3 linked regions of the Mus musculus genome follow. The protein of the gene in region 2 interacts with the protein of the main gene of each other region in a pairwise test. Links are inferred from orthologs where the notes say so. Each region holds a gene or a part of one and is shown on either strand. Other genes may lie near its edges.

Region 1 (6,070 bases), on a different chromosome or scaffold from region 2:
ATTTTTGAGTGTACAATACAGTTTTACTTTAAGTGCATTCCCATGATTGCCTTCCATCCGCATCATTTTCTTCAACTTGCCAAACTGAGACTCTACCAGTTAAGCAGCAGTTCCCCTCCCCCCCACCCCCTCCCCCTCCTGCCCAGCTCCTAGCAACCTTCTGTCTTTATTTTTCTCATCTATGTAGCGACCACTCACATGCTGCATGTGAGTGGAGTCAAACAGCATTTGTCCTTTGCAAATGGCAAATTTAACTGATGATAATCTTCAAAGTTCATTCATCCATGTTCTAACATGCGTAAGAGTTTTCTTAAGGCTTAATAATATTTCATATTATGTGTGTGCGCATACATGCATGCAGTTGTGGATCCTTGGCTTTTGTCCACCTTTTGACTGTCATGACTAATACTGTTGTGACATGACTTACAGACACCAATTCAGGTCTTGTTGGTCCCCTTGTTGATTTTAACCCATTATATTTTACCTTTGTTCTTTGTTATTGAATAATTTCTACAAATCAGAAAAATTTACCTCTGACTATCCAAATCTCTTCTTGTTTTAATTTTAATTTTATGTATATGGGTGTTTTACCTGCATGTATGTTTGTGTACCATGTGTGTCACTGGTGACAACAGAGGACAAAAAATGGCATCAGATCCTCTGAAACTGGAGTTAAGGATGATTGTGAGCCACAATGTAGGTGCTTGGAATTGAGCCTAGGTTCTCTAGAAATGCTCTTAACATCTAAGCTGTCTTTCTACCTCTCCAAATCCCATGTTGATCACAAGGATGTATTATTGATCTACAGTTAATAATTGTCCAACATGGCCATTTTCCTAATCCTGACCTTTGAAAGAGTTAAGTGTAAATAAAGAGTAAAGTGTAAAAACTGTCCGTTCCTTCAGATGCCTGCTTGGCTGGGTCAGAAGCGAGAACTTTGAAGTTTACCTGCTTGTTGACTACCTGTCTATGTGTAGGCCACTAAGATGATACAAACCAATATTAGGTATAAAGAGAACGGAACTGGGTCTTTAGAGTGAGCCCAGTCAGTTGGATCCCTTTGCTTCACAGATAGTTGCAAAACTTTGTCCTGTGGAAAGCATCAGGTGCTTTGGGGAAACAAAAGATGAGTTTACACACTCAGTTTCCAAGGTGAGCTAGAGTACAGAACACTGGAGGAGCTGCCTATAGGAAGCCTTTAAGAGGTTTTAGCCACAGCTGTAAAAAATAATACTGATAAAATAAATCTATAAAAAACATACATCACTGTCAGATAATGAGGGTTACAAAGTCCATGAAAAGCAACATATCCGATAAACGTAGATTTTGGTATCCGATAGGCTTTAAGCAAAGCTTCATGGGCAGACTGGAGCCCTCAGTGTGAGCTTTAATGGTACTTAGCTCTGGCCTTAAAGCAGAAAGTACTCCTGCTCTTGACAGGATGAAATTCTTATTATTTTTAGAGAATAGTAACCATGCATTTATGAAGTTCTTTGTCAGGGCAATTTAGTTAATAGCTATGTAAATGACTACTTATTTCACTGTGTAGGTGGATCACTCCATGTACACTTTCTGAGAAAGAATGCAAGTGCTAAAAACTGTTGGCTCTGCAGATGGAGAGAAGCAAAAGTGAAGGCAGGGTTGCTACACCCTTGTCACTACAGGTTGGGATGAGACAGAGAAATCAGCACATAGTAGTCTGCTCGGTTTACTGAGTAGGACTTTAACTCACAGCCAACTCACCAACCATGTAGGACAGGGGAAACAGGTGAATCGCAGTGCAAGCTTGTCTGTTGGGTTTTGCTCACAAAGGATCTTTATAAACTCATAGTGGGGTGGAGGGGTGCTGGAGTCTGTATTACAGCCATAAATTCCCCTGGAACAGCACCTATCAAACACATAAGGGAACTTGACCAAGGTTACCATTTCTCTAGCGTAAGGCAGTCAGTGTCAAAGTCGTTCTGGTCTAGCTGCCTTGTGTGAGCGAGCAGGCCTCTTGTCTCCTCAAGAGGGTACCTGCTTGGTATATGGCCTGTGCCTCTTCTTTCCTGAGCTCACCCTACCCACCATGCTTGAATCCTCACATTTGTGTTCTGGAAGTGTCCTCAGATTCCCCGCTGTCACACTAATTGCACACAGATTCTTGGTGATGATCCCAAGCCTCCCACCCGCTTGTCCTCCTAGCCTCCTCTCCCTACCTACTTCTGACTCCTCCACCTCACTTTTCCCTTATCAGAGCAGCAAAGAAACTTGGTGTGTTTCTCTCTTGCTGAGGTATCCTGCTCATCCAGTTCCCTTCCTTGCTGCTCCCACTGATCCACAAACGGAGTCTCCTGTCACGTGCCTCCATAGAACTGTTGGAGGTGCCTTGTCTTTGATCAGCAAGCCCTTTCTAAGCTGTGCTGCAGCCATTTGAGGACAAGGATGGGTGGCTGTGGCCGGGCAGCCCTGCAGGCAGTGCACATTATAAAATGCCTCTTGTGCATGTTCCTTTGTTTGTTCTTACATCTTTTTTCTTCTCCTCCAGGTGCAGAGTGAAGACAGTGTACTTCTGTTTGTCATTGCCTGGACAATCACGGAAATTATCCGTTACTCCTTTTACACATTCAGTCTATTAAACCATCTGCCTTATATCATCAAATGGGCCAGGTAAAGAAGTGCATACAGCAAGTACTAACTTTGTAAGAACCCACACCATATCTGCCTTTTATTGCCTGACTATTGCCTCCAACTTCCCAAAACTGAAATTGGATGAGATGGGGATTTCACCAGAAAGGTCTTGACTTTTATCTGTAGAAACACTGTTCTAAAGTCTTCATATTTTACTTAGATTATTTTTCTTGAACTCTGTTCTTTTCAGTTAAGTTACTCAACAGAGACTTATTATATTATCTGTTTTTGTCCTTACTCAGTTTAGCTGATGAACTTGTCCCCTTGTGGTCCGTGTCTACATCTCCTAGTCTTGTTTTGTCAAGAAACTATGACATGTGAGGTTATTTTACTTAATAGCAAACATTACATGGTTTTCTCAGCTTATAAATTTTATTTTGCTTTGATTATTTTTACCAGTAATATTCATTAAGAATCAGGCATGTGAGGCTGGAGAGATGGCTCAGCAGTTAAGAGCACTGACTGTTCTTCCAGAGGACCTGAGTTCAATTCCCAGCACCTACATGGTGGCTCACAACCATCTGTAATGGGACTCAATGCCCTCTTCGGCTGTGTCTGAAGATAGCTACGGTGTACTTACTTACATTAAAGGAAAAAAACAAAGAATGAATGAATTCAGGCATGGTGATTCACCCTTTTATAATCCCAGAACTTGGAAGGCTGAGGCAGGAAAATTGCCACAATTTCTGGCCCCAGAATGAGACTCTGGTCTCAACAACAATAATGAAATTTAATTGTGACTTAGACAAAAGGCTGATGGCACATCTGTTTATCCAGTTGTGATTTTGTGCATGAGGAACTGTGGGGTGAGGATGACAGAGCAGAAAGGTCCAGGCTGACTTTGGAGCTAAGACACCTCATTTCCTAAAAAGAAAACAGTTGTTACTACACAGTTTGAGTTTAGCGATTGAATTAGGAATGGAATCCAGTGTCTAGCATTTCAAGGATATGAGCCTTTTGTTTTTTTTTTAATAGACTATATTTAGGAGGAAAAGAAGGGAAAAGTAACAGCTTCCAACCAGCCTGCACGGCCATCATGAAGGCTGTCCGTCTGTGGGGACACTTGTTGCACTTGTTGGCCTAGATTTGGCTTTGTTCTCAGAGAATTCTTTGGCTTATTTTTCTCTGTGGTCTATGGACAGTTCTTCTCCACTGCCCTGCCTAATGATCTAGGTTGGCAACAGGGAAAATGACTTGTTTCTGGGCAGATTCTTGTGCCTGGAAGCTTAATCCAGGTTAATTTTGAGCCGTAAATGGCTACAGTTTCTTGAATTTGAGCTGAGACAATTTCCACAGGGATGATGGTGCCTCATGTATGTACATGTTTGGTCTGCAGGTATCTGTATCCACGAACATGCCCGCTGCCTGCAGAGGCCAGAAGACCTTTTAGTGGCTGTGAGCAACCACATGTGTGCTTAGGAATTGAACCCTGGTCCTCTGCAAGAGCAACGAGTGCTTTTAACCACTGAGCCCTCTCTCCTGTTCCCTCTGAATTCTTTTAAAAGAGATAAAAACTTTTTAAAATGAAAATAATTGTGTGAACACCTCATGAAATAGTAATTTATCTGTGTGGGTTTGTTTGTAAAATTCAAAGCTATTAGGAATTTTCTAATGTTAAAATTAGTCAAGATTTTATTTTCACAGTAGTTTGTATGGGCATTTTGGAAGTAGCAGAATGTAGCTGTGTAATGTACTGTTTCCTTCAGTCTGCATGCAGCTTGGCGTGCCTTAGGGATTCCTGGATGGCTGCTCCATCTCCTTCCTCTCCGTCCCCACAGGGAAGGAAGGCCCTTGTTAGAGTTTAATGCCCCTACTCTACCGTTCTAAAGCTGCATGTTCTGAAGGAGCCAGGTTTCGAAGCTGACTGACAGTTACTTTGCTTTAGAACATTTGGAAACATTTGGGAACCTACAATGGCCGCTTTCAAAAACTGGCATATAAAGGCTAAATAAAAACGGGGAATGGAGCTGCAGACACAAGCTTTCTGAGAAGGCGGTGCTTGTAAATATGGCTCTGAGCGCTCAGTGAGGGCTCTGTTCTGTTTCAGGTACACACTTTTCATCGTGCTGTACCCAATGGGAGTGACAGGAGAGCTCCTCACAATATACGCAGCTCTGCCCTTTGTCCGGCAGGCCGGCCTGTACTCCATCAGCTTACCTAACAAATACAACTTCTCCTTTGATTACCATGCATTCCTGATTCTGATCATGATCTCCTACATTCCACGTAAGTATATTTATGTGATAAAGGTCAGCTCTGCGGTAACTAGAGTTACATCTTTGCTCTATGTGTAATATAAATCACATTTATGGGATGCTTTGGTTTTTATTGACCACTGACTTTCAGAGGGAATTTTCTCTGGCAGTAATTGGATAAAGATGAACCCTTCTCTGTAGCGCTGCAGTGTGCAGGTCACTGCTGTGCTAGGCCAAGTAGGAAGGAGAGAGCAGAAAACCAGATGGCCTTACCTTAGCTTCATTTTCCTGTCTCTTCAGAATTGCTTTATTAAGGTTTGTGAAAAACATTGTAAGAAGATGTTCGCATTGCTCAATATATCAAAATAGGCAGTTTCACTTCACTTTAAGAGACCAGTAGCTGATCAGAAACAAATAACAAAATAAAAACAGATATATTGTTTTTCTACATTTCTCATTGAGTACAAAACCCTCAGAATTGGACACAGTGTTCCCTGCAGTGTGGCTTCCAGTTATTCTAATAGAACCTCTGATGGCTTAAATGTACGGAAAATCAAATGTACCTCTGAACGCACAGGACCAGAACAGAAAGGGCACGTTTGACAGTGAGGAGTGTGTCTTTTTCTCGGATTCTGCTCAGTTGTAACTCCTGGTTGATTTCTGTATTCCAAAAGGACCTTCTTAGACCCAAGGACAAACCAAGCTCATTTGGCAATACTGTAGCCACTGTAATTCTTAGTCTTCCCTAAGCCCCACTAAGTTCAAGCAGGGATAAATTTCTTTAGCCCCCAGCATTATCTGAGTGAGTCATCCTAACCATCATAAATGACATGTTTGTGTCCCTCTGTAGAAATTGCATTTTACGCATTGTAAAGAAAAAAATTCTGTGCAGATTTCATCTGAACATTTATCTTGGAGAAATTCTTGGACACAGTCCTGCTTCATGATTCAGTTTCCACTCTATTCATTACCAAAAGCTTCCTTTAACACCAAGACCTTGGTGACTAACAGCCATTTTTCTTCAGAAAGCGTGCTGGATGTTGAAACAAAAGGCAAATCTGGAAGAGTGCAAATGTACATGATGCAAAGGCATGGATTGTCACCTTTGAGGTTTGCCCCCTAGAGCAGCAAGGCACAGCAGTGACTTTACTACTCTGAGAATAGCACCCCCTGGGCGTCTCGGTATTTGCTTCTATTCTGATAAG
Region 2 (6,870 bases):
GTGAGCTTATAGAATGAAACACTGCTTTGAACTTACTATTGACATCTTCTGGGACTCCCTTTTGTTTAGCATTTTATCTGTGAGGTAATTTTATAAAGAACTTTTGTCTAAGAAGCTATAAAAAGGCTGGGAGAAAAATAAATGTGTAGATGTCAGGCTGACTTCCTTTTTTATGTTTTTTCTTTCTCTGTGGAGCCAGTTATTTATTTCGTAGTGTTCTGCCTGCATATATACTGCAGGCCAGAAGAGGGCACCCGATCTCATTATAGATAGTAATGAGCCACTTTGTAGTTGCTGGGAACTGAACTCTGGACCTTTGGGAGAGCAGCCAATGCTCTTAAACTCTGAGCCATCTTGCCAGCCCTCACAAAGAGTTAATGAGCTTCTCGACAGGCCAGTGAGAGGCCCCTGAGTTAAAGAATAAAGAGTCCAAGTAATTCCATTTCTTTTCCTAATCTCCTACTGCTATCAGCAGGAGTCACTTGCCAGAAGCCACCAGTCCTGGTCCCCAGAACAGTAAAAGAGGGTTAGTGACCAGAGGGCATTCTCCTCTGCTCTGCGCCCCACATCGGTACCTGAGTGTCAGGGTGGAACCCTGACAGTTCACAATTTCAGTTTTCTTTACAGCAAAATAGTATTGCACAGAGTATATGTACCACACTGCCATTAGCCAGCCGTCGATCAGAGAATGTTTACGTACGTTGTATTTCCTAGCTACTGTGTATGGCAGCCAACATGGCTGAGCAAGTATCTGTGGAGTGAGAAGTCCTTTGGTCATATGCCAAGGAGCAGTATAGCTGGATTATATGGTTTATTTTTTTGGCTTTTTGAGAATTCTCAAACTTATTTCCATAGTGGCTACACCAGTTTGCAATCCTCCCAGCAGTGAACAAGGGGTTACCTTTCCCTACACGCCCTCTAGAATTTGTTAATGGTTGTTTTATTGGTTTTATCCATTCTGACAGAGATGAGATGAAGCCTCAAAGTTTAATTTCTGTTTCTCTAACTCTAAAGAATGATGAATACTTTGAGATATATGTTAGCCATTTGTATTTCTTCTACTGAAAACGTCTGTTCTGATCCACAGCCCCTCCCCCCTTTTTCTGGCAAGAAAGTCTACAATTTTATTGGGCCTGTTATATAATATTATTAAACTAACCCTAAATGCCATGTCTGAACATTTATTCCTGCAGTATATACATATATATATTCAGGCTGCAGACTACAGCAAGCAGAATCTGGCTGCACTAGGCTTTTAACATTTTATATTTACTTATGAGAGTGTGTGTATATGTGTGCTTGCACATGTGCCATGGTGTCTCTGTTCCGGCCTTACATTATGTGGGTCCCTGGGATTGAATTGAGCCCATTAGGTAGGATACCAAATGCCTTCATTTGTAATGTCTTTTTTTTTTTAAGATTTATTTATTCTATATATATGAGTACACACTGTAGTTGTACAGATGGTTGTGAACCTTAATGTGATTGTTGGGAATTGAATTTAGGACCTCTACACCTCTGCTTGCTCTGGCCAACCCCACTTGCTCCGGTCCAAAGATTTATTTATTAAAATAAGTTCACTGTAGCTGTCTTCAAACGCACCAGAAGAGGGCATCAGATCTCATTATGGGTGGTTGTGAGCCACCATGTGGTTGTTGGGATTTGAACTCAGTACCTTTGGAAGAGTAGTTGGTGCTCTTACCCACTGAGCCATCTCACCAGCCCCTGTAATGTCGTCTTTCTCTGCACTGTTCTCTGATGTCCTGTATTTTTAGACTGGCAGCACCTGTCATTTTTTTCCTGTATATTTCAAGGGCTCAGTAGCTACATGTGGCCAGTAGTAACCAAACTGTACACGATAACGCAGGCAGAGACAAAGGTGGTTTTGCTTCTAGGGCCAGCTCAACTGACAGGAGCTGTTTTAGGAGGGGCACCTGTAGAATGCGGTGCAGGTTTTCTTTTCCTTTCTCCATTCGTGATATCTGGAGTCCTTTCAAGGGTCCTGGTGATGGATGATAATCTGAGGTCTCATCTCTTAGATGAGCTTCTCTACATCTACGAATTCACCCCAAGCCTGGCTCTCCGGGCCACGCAGCTCTTTGTTCTCGTTTTGCCGCATTGACCCCTCAGCCTGACGTCGCTGGATTTCCACCGCAACACTGCAATGGGCGGAGCCAGAGGGCGCGCGGCGCCCAGGCTTCCTTTTGATTGGTGGGTGGCCGGGTTTTAATCTTGCTTGCCAAAGTGGGGGGGAGGGGGTCCGCTGCGCTCCTTGGATCGAGAAATCTGATTGGTCAGTTGTGTGGCGCGAGCAGTGGGTGCACCCCACGCTGATTGGCAGGAGGGACGCACGCATAGAGGGGGGCGGAGCCGGAGTCCGGGAGTGCTGCTCCCCGAGTGTGTGTGGAGCTGGGTGGTGTTTGGTGCGGTACGGCGGCCACTCAGTTGCAGCAGAGCAGGTGCCATCCTGTGGAAGAACCATGAAGCACTACGAGGTAAGCAGCGCGGGGCCCTGGGCCATGATTACCGCAGACCGCAAGTGTCCTGCAGGGCCTCGGAACCTTTTTTTATGGTCTGACTCTCCGCCATGGCGCAGGCGCAGTGTAGTCTCATTGCGCATGTGCAGGGGGGTATTTATAAACCTGCCACCCAGGTTGTTTGGGGATGCCTTTTCTTAGGGTCTTGCAGGGCCTAGGAGAAGCTTGCAGCTTCCTTGCAGCATCCTTGATGGCCTGAGTGGCAGGTGTTCAGGAGGAGTGCGGTGCGGAGCACTTGGTTTTGGTACGAACGATTCTCTTGCACAATCCTTGCACGTTGTCAGCGCCTCGGGCTCAGGAGGGGCTCTGCAGCCAGCCTGCCTCTTCCGACCTTCGCACCCACCTCGCCAAGATGCCTGGGCGGCGAGGGAGTTGGTTCCAGGGTCACGCCAGCCCGTGACCGCCAGGGAAGAAATCTGAATGCGCAAGACCATTCTGGAAGCTCATGTCTTCTGACTGTATCTTGGGTCACCTTTCCTCTTAAAACCAAATCTTCTAATGCTCTTCTCGACCTGATGATACTAATTTCGTTGTTGCTGACTTTTAAGTAATCATCATAAAACAGTAACTCACTGCTCACATTCATAGTAAGAATACATTAGTCAGGGCTAACTACCGTATTACTGAGGTTTTGTTATGTCCTCAGACTCATAGTCCTCTGCGGAGGGATTTGTAGTTTGTTACTATGTAGGTGAAAGTCAGAGATGTCCAGTGAGTTGTTGGAAGGTCCCTGCTAGTAATTGCAGAACAGAAAGGAAATGCAGATTTCTTTTCAAAGGCATAGTTTCTAACCACTAGCAGTGCGGTTCCGGGTAAATGAAAGCTGCCAAGCTGAGAGTTGTGTGTATTTCTCCCCTCAGATCTTAAATTTGTGATGAATTTAGTCAACCTCAGCCTAGCCTTAGGTTAGGGTTTTTTTTGTTTTTTTTTTTTTTCCCCTTCCCTGCCTGCTCCCTCAGTTTGTAGTGCTAGGCTTAGAACTCAGGGCTTTTCTCCTGCTAGGCAAGTACTCTAAACTCTCTTTGATCTTGTAAAACTGAAGCTGTACAGCAGTGTACAGTATCTCCCCATTCCCTCCTCCCCCAGCCCCTGGCAACCACCACTTGTCTCTGGAAATTGGCATACTTCAGGAACCTCCAATACATAGGAAATAATCCTATTTTTTTTTATCACAAGTTGAATACTAATATTGCTATTCATCTTCTGTATCATGATTATTGTTGGTAGTTTTCCCAGGGCCTGTGAAATGAATCTTGAAATCCCCAGTCTTTTTTCTTTTTTTTTTTTTAACATGATGCCAGAGGACCAGAGATGGGAGTCTGCAATCCTTACGCCCCATCAACTCTGTGCTTTCAAAAGGAGGTTTGTTCCCTGGGGTGTTTTTCCTTTCCCACCCCCTCTCTTGCTCTGGGGGAAAAGCCATGTTCAGTTTGAGAAGTACAGGCGGATGATGGAGTTTGCAGCCAATCATTTTAATTTGCTAGTAGAAAATCAGGCCAGGTAGGCTTCTGAGACTTGGGGCGGGTGCTTTGTTTCAAGGAGTGTGAACACAGCCTGAGGCTCACAGTTTGGCCTGGAAAACTTGATCTGGTTTATTTCAGAGCCTGATTTCTCCCAGTGCCTCGATGGGCTGATGGTAGTTCCTCCGGCAGAGCAGTTGTATGCACAAGTGTGCACACACGCGGCTCGGAGGCTCTGGGTTCCACAGCAGCACAAAGGCAGGGAAGAACCAAACTGGGGAATAGGGGTGGAGCTCATTTGGTAGAGCACTTTCCTAACCTGGGTCGGATCCCTGGCCCTGAGGAAAACCCGGCAAGCAAGCTGGTACACGCCTGTAGTTCCAGGTCTTGGGACATGGAGGCAGAAGGATGCAAGGTTATCTTCAACTACATAGTGAGTTTGATGCCAACTGGGGCTAGAGATCCTGTCTCAAAAATGCAAACCAAATGAAATAGACAAAAATAAATAAATAAATAAATAAATAAAAACAAAGTTTGAGGGGCCTGGAGAGAACACCACAGGAAGACCAACAGAACCAAGTAACCTGGACCCTTGGGGTCTCCCAGAGACCGAACCACCCACGAAAGAGCAAACAAAGGCTGGACCTGGGCCCTCCACACATACGTAGCAGATGTGCAGCTTGGTCTTCATAGACAACTGGAGCAGGGACAGAGTTCCTGACTGATGCCTGCCTGTGGATCCTGTGTCCCTAACTGGGCTGCCTTGTCTGGCCTCAGTGGAGAGAATGCGCTTGGTCCTGCAGTGACTTGATGTTCCAGAGTGGGTTGGTAACCAGGGGGGCTTCTCTTTTATCAGAGGAGAAGGGGAGGGGGTGGGGGAAGCTATGTGAGGGGGGCCGGGAGGAGAAAGGGGGCTGTAATGAGTATGTGACATGAATAAATAAATAGATAAATAAATAAAATAAATGGGAAAAAACCCCAAAAAGCCAATGTGACCTTGGTGAAAAAAAAGTTATTTCATATATATATATATATATATTTTTATTCTCTGTTGACATTTGTTTAATACACACTGAGGCCATAGTTTTGGGACAGGAGCATCTGCTATCTTCTAGCCCAGTTTGCAGAGCCATTTGCAGTACCATTTTATTGGTACAGACCAATAAAAATGGGAGAGATGCTTTCATAGTTAAGATGGGGAAAAGTGTCAGCTTAATCCCCATTAAGAGCAGAGCTCTGGGCTCTTAGGCCTGCATGCAGGAGACCCTGAGTTCCAGCCCCAGCCCTGGATAAAACCAGGCGTGGTAGTTGATGCTTGTGATTGATCCCAGTACTTGGGAGGTGAAGGCATTAGAATTACAAGTTCAGAGTCATCCTTGTCTAGCTACATTGTGAATTCCAGGCCACCCTGGTAGGATGGCTCAGCAGGTAAAGGTGTCTGCTATTGAACCTGAAGACTTGGGGTTAGTTCCTTTTAGTTCCTGGAACGCAGGTGGTGAAAGGAAAGAACTCCCACAGGCTGCCCTCTGACTTCCACTTGCATGCATCAGTGTGCATCACAGGCTGCCCTCTCTGACTTCCACATGCATGCATCAGTGTGCATCACAGGCTGCCCTCTCTGACTTCCACATGCATGCATCAGTGTGCATCACAGGCTGCCCTCTCTGACTTCCACATGCATGCATCAGTGTGCATCACAGGCTGCCCTCTCTGACTTCCACATGCATGCATCAGTGTGCATCACAGGCTGCCCTCTCTGACTTCCACATGCACGCATCAGTGTGCGTTCAATTACAATAAATAAAAATGTAATTTTTCTTGAGGTAGAATCTGTGTAGTCTGTGTAGCTCTGCCTGACCCTGAGTGGCCTGGAACTTGCCTTGTAGACTAGTCTGTATCTGGCCTTGAACCAAGGGATCTCCCTTTGTCTTCCTAAGTGCTGGGTTTAAAGGCGTGTGCTACCACAACAGGCTAAAATTTTAATTTAAATAACAAAGTAATAGATACCTTTGAAGGACTGAGTCGATCCTTTGCCCTCTTGCACCTCTGTCCACTGGGAAACCTCCCGTCTCAGAAGCCTCGGAGGTAGTGAGACAGTTCATCAGGTAGAGATGCGTCTTTGAGGCCTACCTGAATTTGATCCTTTCACCCCACAAGGTGGCAGGAGAGAACCAATTTCTGGAATACAATGAATTTTAAGAAGGAGAAAGACTTTTTGCCCATAGGAAGACACCACAGATATAATGAAGTACAGTTAATTATTTTTGGATGTTGTGGTGCTGAGCTGGAACCCAGGGTCTTTCTTGCACAGGCTAATCAAGCACCCTGCCCCCAAAGCCGCGCCCCCCAGACTTGGTGCTCAGGGGCTGGAGAGATGGGTCGAGAAGACCCAGGTTCAGTTCCCAACATCACCAACATTCTGTCTACCCATCTGCAACAGCAGTTCTAGGGCCCCAGCACCCTCTTCTGTCCTGTGGGCATTGCATAAGCTAAGTGCATGTGATGTGCATGCAGGTAAACAGCCCTAAACATGCAGGTAAACAGCCCTAAAAAGAGCCAAGCTCAGAAAGGTTCAGGACTTCACGGTCAGTTACGGTCACAGGGAAGACCCAAGGCACAGTGGATTCCACCTGGAGTGCAGATTGCGGCTTCTTGGTAAGTTTCCTATCAGCACAGTTCATTGCTTATTTATCAGTAAAGAGACTCCCTTCCCTGCCTAGGCCTAGTGGAGGGGAAGCTTCCTGAACAGGGAATATAACTTAGGATAGTTATAAATCAGCAGGGTTGTTGGAAAACAGCTTATCCTGGGCTCAGGGTTTCTTTTTTAAAATTTTTTTATTAGTGTTTTTGCCACTGGAGACGGTGCTCGGAGA
Region 3 (4,674 bases), on a different chromosome or scaffold from region 2:
GTTGTTATCTTGGGACCTCGAATCATACTCAGTGGTAGAAATGCTTGAGAGGCTGACTCAGTCTAACAACATCAACAATCGTCAAAGCTGGACATGATGGTGCACCCCTCTATAACCCTAGCACTCTGGAGGCAGGAGCAGGAAGGTCTTCACAAGTTCAAAGTCACTTCCCACGTGCTGGGATTACAAGAATACTGCATCTAGTTTTTGTGGCAAATTTTTTTAATGTCATTTGCCTTTTTAATATTGTCTTACTTCTGATATGTAGATATTTACTTATTTGGGGCAGGTGGATCAGCATTAACGGACAGACTTAGCTTCATGTTGAGTTCAGGCAAGCTTGGGCTATGTGAGAAACCATCCCCTATCCCTCTATCACTATTACAAGATGAATGAGCAATATATTGGGAGGAAAGGAAACGGAACTTGGAAATTATCAATAGTGGTTCTGTCCCTAGGATAGTAACTGTCTTGTCTTCCTTTACACTGGCCAGAGCATGCCATAATTCCCCTACCCACTGGGATTGGAGTACAGTACCTCATGAATGTTCATCAATGCTCACTGCTGAGCCACGCCCTCTGGCCCTTGTTGTTAAGGCAGGGTCTTGTAAACCCAGGCTGGGCTGGCCTCAAACTATGTAGTAGGGAAAGAATGCCTTTGAATTCCTGATTCTCCTGCTTCTAACTCCCTCGGACTAGATTACAAGTGTATGATGTCACTCTTGGCTAGTGTCCAAGTTTGACAGGCATTATCAGAGAATGTAAGAGTTAACTTTATTCAGTTTTAGTTTCTGAAAGAAAAAAAGTTGAAAGTACCTTAAGATAAGGATATATTCTATATCACTTTAGAGACTCTAGGAAAATCAAATGAATGGAAATTATAAGAAGATTGATGTTGCTTTAGGATAAGGGTAGATGTTGTTGTTGTTAGTTTTGAGACATGGTCTTATGTAGCTCAGTCTGTCCTCAAAAACTACCCTAGCCAAGGATGGTCTTGAAATCCTGACTTCCTTCTTCTGCCTCCCAAGTGCTGATACTACAGGCATGTACAACCACACCTAGCTTAAGTGGAATTTTTAAAATTAATTAGAGACTGGAAAGATGATTCCGTGGTTTAGAGTACTTTCTGCTTTTCCATGGGGCATGAGTTCAAGTCCCAGCTCCCACATGGCAGCTTACAATCCGAGGAGATCTGACACCCTCTTCTAGCCTATGTGGGCACTAGGCACACCCATTATACATATACGTTATACAGACATGCAGGCAAAACACCCAAACACATAAAAAATAATAAAAAGTCTGGCTTTCTAGTGTTGAATATCTGCTCCTTGGTGTTCACACAGAAGGTAAATGCCTACTGACAGAGAGGCTGTGGAGAGTATTTGATTGGGAAGAAGGTTAGCTGTCTTCCAACATACCTATGTAGTATATATAGGTATAACATACAGGCATATAATAACATACTGTGGGTGACCTTTCCCCCATCTTCTCTTAGGTGGAGGAACAAGTTCTGAAACGAGTGCGGAGGAAGATTCGTAACAAGAGAGCAGCTCAAGAAAGCCGCAAGAAGAAGAAGGTGTATGTCGTGGGGCTGGAGAGCAGGTAAGCAAGGATGGACACGGGGGAAGCCTGGAGGGTCTTGAAGGGAGGAGACACAATATTTTGAAATCCACGTGTCCTCACATCCATGTTGTCCTCTAGGGTCTTGAAATACACAGCTCAGAATCGGGAGCTGCAGAACAAGGTGCAGCGTTTGGAGGAACAGAATCTGTAAGCGGCCATTTGAAGACAATCGGTTTTTTAATGCTTTCTCACTCTTTCCACTGTTCCACATGACTTCCAACTGGATAGCTCAAAAATGCAGACATCCGGAAGTTAGCCATGTCTCAAGCGTGATGGAGAATAAACTTATAAGTAGCTAAGGAGCAATTAAGTACCAAGATAGAGAAGTAAGAAAAGACTGCAGGTCGTCAGCGTCATTGCAGTTGCAGCTGTGGGGATGGGACTGGGAGGAGAGAAGGCTGCATTGTGCTTGGCTGGCTCTAGCTCTGGGGTTGGGTAGAGAGCACAGGGCTTGGTGGGGAAGCACAAGCTTAGTTGATCAGGTACTGCAGCTACTGGAGAGTTTTTCTTGAAGGTATTTAAGTCAGGACAGAGCAGTTTGATTTTTTTTTTGTCTCACTAAGGAATCACAGGCATTTGTGCACAAAGACACTTGGGGTGAGGGGGAAAGGCAAGGAAGCTGAGACTGGATCCACAGCATGAGTGGAGAGGGTAGCTAAGACAGGAGGCCTTCATCGTGCCTTGCATGCTCGGCCAGAGCATGCGCACTACCGTCTCCTCTCGTCTCTTAGGTCCCTTCTAGATCAACTGAGGAAGCTTCAAGCCATGGTGATTGAGATAGCCAACAAAACCAGCAGCGGCAGCACTTGTGTTCTGGTGAGGAGGGTGACAAGAGATCCTTTCCCTGGCAGAGATGGGGTGTGTGACCCAGAGCTCTTCACCCCCTTCTTCTCCCTGTGTTCTAGGTCCTCGTGTTCTCCTTCTGTCTTCTCCTGGTACCCGCTATGTACTCCTCTGATGCAAGGGGAAGTGTGCCCGCGGAGTATGTTGGTAAGAGGCTTAAGGACACCTTCGGGCGTGGTCTGTGGTAGAGAGAGGGCTTCTTCTGTGTGGTCTCCTGACCAGTCTTTGTCTCTTCAGTGTTGCACCGCAAGCTTCGTGCCCTCCCCAGCGAGGACGATCATCAGCCGAAGCCATCTGCTCTATCGTCAGAGCTACCCATGGACAGCACACACCAGTCACTGGACAGCTCAGAACATATGTTCTTGGTCTCCAGCAACTTTTCCTGTGTACTGTACCACGCGCCTCAGGCAGAGCAGCCCCTGCACTGGCCACTCTGGGATCTTTCTTCAGAGATGCTCTTCTCCGACTCCAACCTTCTCCTGCAGGCAAACCTTTCAGAAAGCGAGGGATGGCAACCTAACCACAGCCCTTCTTTGGTCATCTTTCAGGGCAGGTATTCAGGTTAGGTGTGAGGATGTGGGGTGTCCTCAGCCTGAGGACTCCTGTCTGTATTCAAATAAAAAGGAGCAGGGGAAAGCTGGCCTTTGCTCACGTGCTCTGTTAGGATGCCCAGGAACTCAGACACACCACACTAACTAGTTTTCTGAGTATTTTATTTATACCCATATGTATCTGTTGCCCCGTGAATAGATTTGGAGACATTTACTGGCCTTGAATACTTCATCCATGGAAGGACTGGGTAGGGTAAGAAATAAATAAGTGGTTCCTCAGCCCCTTTTTACTGGCACAGCTGGGAAGGAAGAGGGGCGCGATTGTCCTATTGGCTCAGGGCTGCAGGACTTGTGGGAGGAAGGAGGAGGTCCAGTGTGGAGGCTGGGCCTCCACAGTTCAGAGGGATCACTCTGAATTGAGGTTTGCCAGCGATCTCTTTGGTCCACATTCAGGCTGTGTGCTTAGTCCCGTGCCTTGTGTGACTGATGGCCTGCGGCTCTTTTTATGCTGCTGCTGTTGCAGGGCCAGCTGCATGGCCCAGATGCTCAGTGGCCGCATGTAGGCCAGGGAGCGGAACACTTGTTGCTGGCAGTATGCCTCTGGGGTCTGGAAAGCCAGGCCCAGGCGTTCCCATACAGTGCGGTAACAGCCTTCAGCTGTCCGGAAACCTTCCCAAGTCAGGCCCTGTGGGGAGACGTAGAAGTCACACATAATAACTGACTCTTGGCACAATTACCTTAGCTGAGCAGAGAAGACAGGAGGCCGTTCGCCCTAAAGGCAAGAACTTAAAGGCAAGAGGTGGAACACTTATTAGGGAGAAGGGCGCTCTGTGGACGGATAAGATGGCAGGCAGTAGGGTGTTCTTGGAATAAAGTTAGTGGCTGAGGAAGTTTTCTGGACCTCAGTACAAATGGTGAAGGGCTGGGAAGAGAATTCATTACCTCTTGGATCATGGTGGCTGCCAGCCCATAGACCACACCCACCCAGACTTCATCAGACTGCACACTGGATCTATCAGGGACACCATGAGGGTGCATCCCGTTCACGGCCCCCATGGCTCCTCCTGCAAAGGCTTGGACGTTGAGTTCAAAGATGGTTTGGAGAGCACGGACCACATGCAGGGTAGGAAATACCTGGAGGGAGAGCAAAGGTGGAGTCTCAGACTTGCCTCCCACCTCCAGGGAAACCCAGACTTCTGGCTTCTCCAGCCTCTCACTTCAGTGTCTCCTTCTCCCAGGCCGCAGGCCCTCAGGAACCACTGCCCAGCACACTGGTCAGACATGATGCTCCGAGACTGAGGATGGGAGCTGCTGTCGTAGTTGTAATAGCGTCCTGGAATAGAGAAAGAGCAAAGTCAAGTTGCTTGTATCCCGTAGTTGGGTTTTAAGCTGCCCCAGGTTGCTTTTACTCACCGTTCCACAGCAGTCTCTCATAAGCTTCTCGGCCTCGGCAGAGAATGGAAGCAAACCTCTCCTGGACATCTTGGGCCCCACACAGAACAGCCATCTGAACCATTACAGCCACTGCCGCCAGCCACAGCCCTCCGCAGTAAGCACTGGGTGGGAACAGTGGCTGGAGTGAGACCGGCCGCTCTACACGGCATCCTCACATGCCCGGGTCTTCACCTCAGACCTGGAAATCCCTACCCCCAAACCT

The links.
Region 1: the proteins of Tecr (region 2) and Hacd2 interact in binary tests that used the Homo sapiens proteins (3 or more experiments, as listed by UniProt). The link is inferred for Mus musculus from reciprocal best matches to the Homo sapiens genes TECR and HACD2.
Region 3: the proteins of Tecr (region 2) and Creb3 interact in a two-hybrid assay, tested with the Homo sapiens proteins (2 studies listed by BioGRID and IntAct). The two-hybrid records come from large-scale screens. The link is inferred for Mus musculus from reciprocal best matches to the Homo sapiens genes TECR and CREB3.

What each region holds. Positions count from the first base shown.
Region 1 is NC_000082.6:35,097,229-35,103,298, forward strand, and holds part of Hacd2 (very-long-chain (3R)-3-hydroxyacyl-CoA dehydratase 2), read left to right. Parts: intron 1-2,527; coding exon 2,528-2,649; intron 2,650-4,717; coding exon 4,718-4,896; intron 4,897-6,070. UniProt on the Homo sapiens protein: Catalyzes the third of the very long-chain fatty acids (VLCFA) elongation four-step cycle (condensation, reduction, dehydration, and reduction).
Region 2 is NC_000074.6:83,589,965-83,596,834, reverse strand, and holds the start of Tecr (very-long-chain enoyl-CoA reductase), read left to right. Parts: upstream 1-2,343; 5' UTR 2,344-2,480; coding exon 2,481-2,495; exon of another isoform or gene 2,496-4,465; intron 4,466-4,978; exon of another isoform or gene 4,979-6,870. UniProt on the Homo sapiens protein: Involved in both the production of very long-chain fatty acids for sphingolipid synthesis and the degradation of the sphingosine moiety in sphingolipids through the sphingosine 1-phosphate metabolic pathway.
Region 3 is NC_000070.6:43,563,766-43,568,439, forward strand, and holds the end of Creb3 (cyclic AMP-responsive element-binding protein 3), read left to right. Parts: intron 1-1,495; coding exon 1,496-1,602; intron 1,603-1,701; coding exon 1,702-1,770; intron 1,771-2,354; coding exon 2,355-2,439; intron 2,440-2,528; coding exon 2,529-2,613; intron 2,614-2,703; coding exon 2,704-3,032; 3' UTR 3,033-3,296; downstream 3,297-4,674. Other genes in the region: Gba2 (non-lysosomal glucosylceramidase), read right to left, coding at 3,424-3,702, 3,960-4,151, 4,235-4,350, 4,431-4,573, 4,673-4,674. UniProt on the Homo sapiens protein: Endoplasmic reticulum (ER)-bound sequence-specific transcription factor that directly binds DNA and activates transcription. Plays a role in the unfolded protein response (UPR), promoting cell survival versus ER stress-induced apoptotic cell death.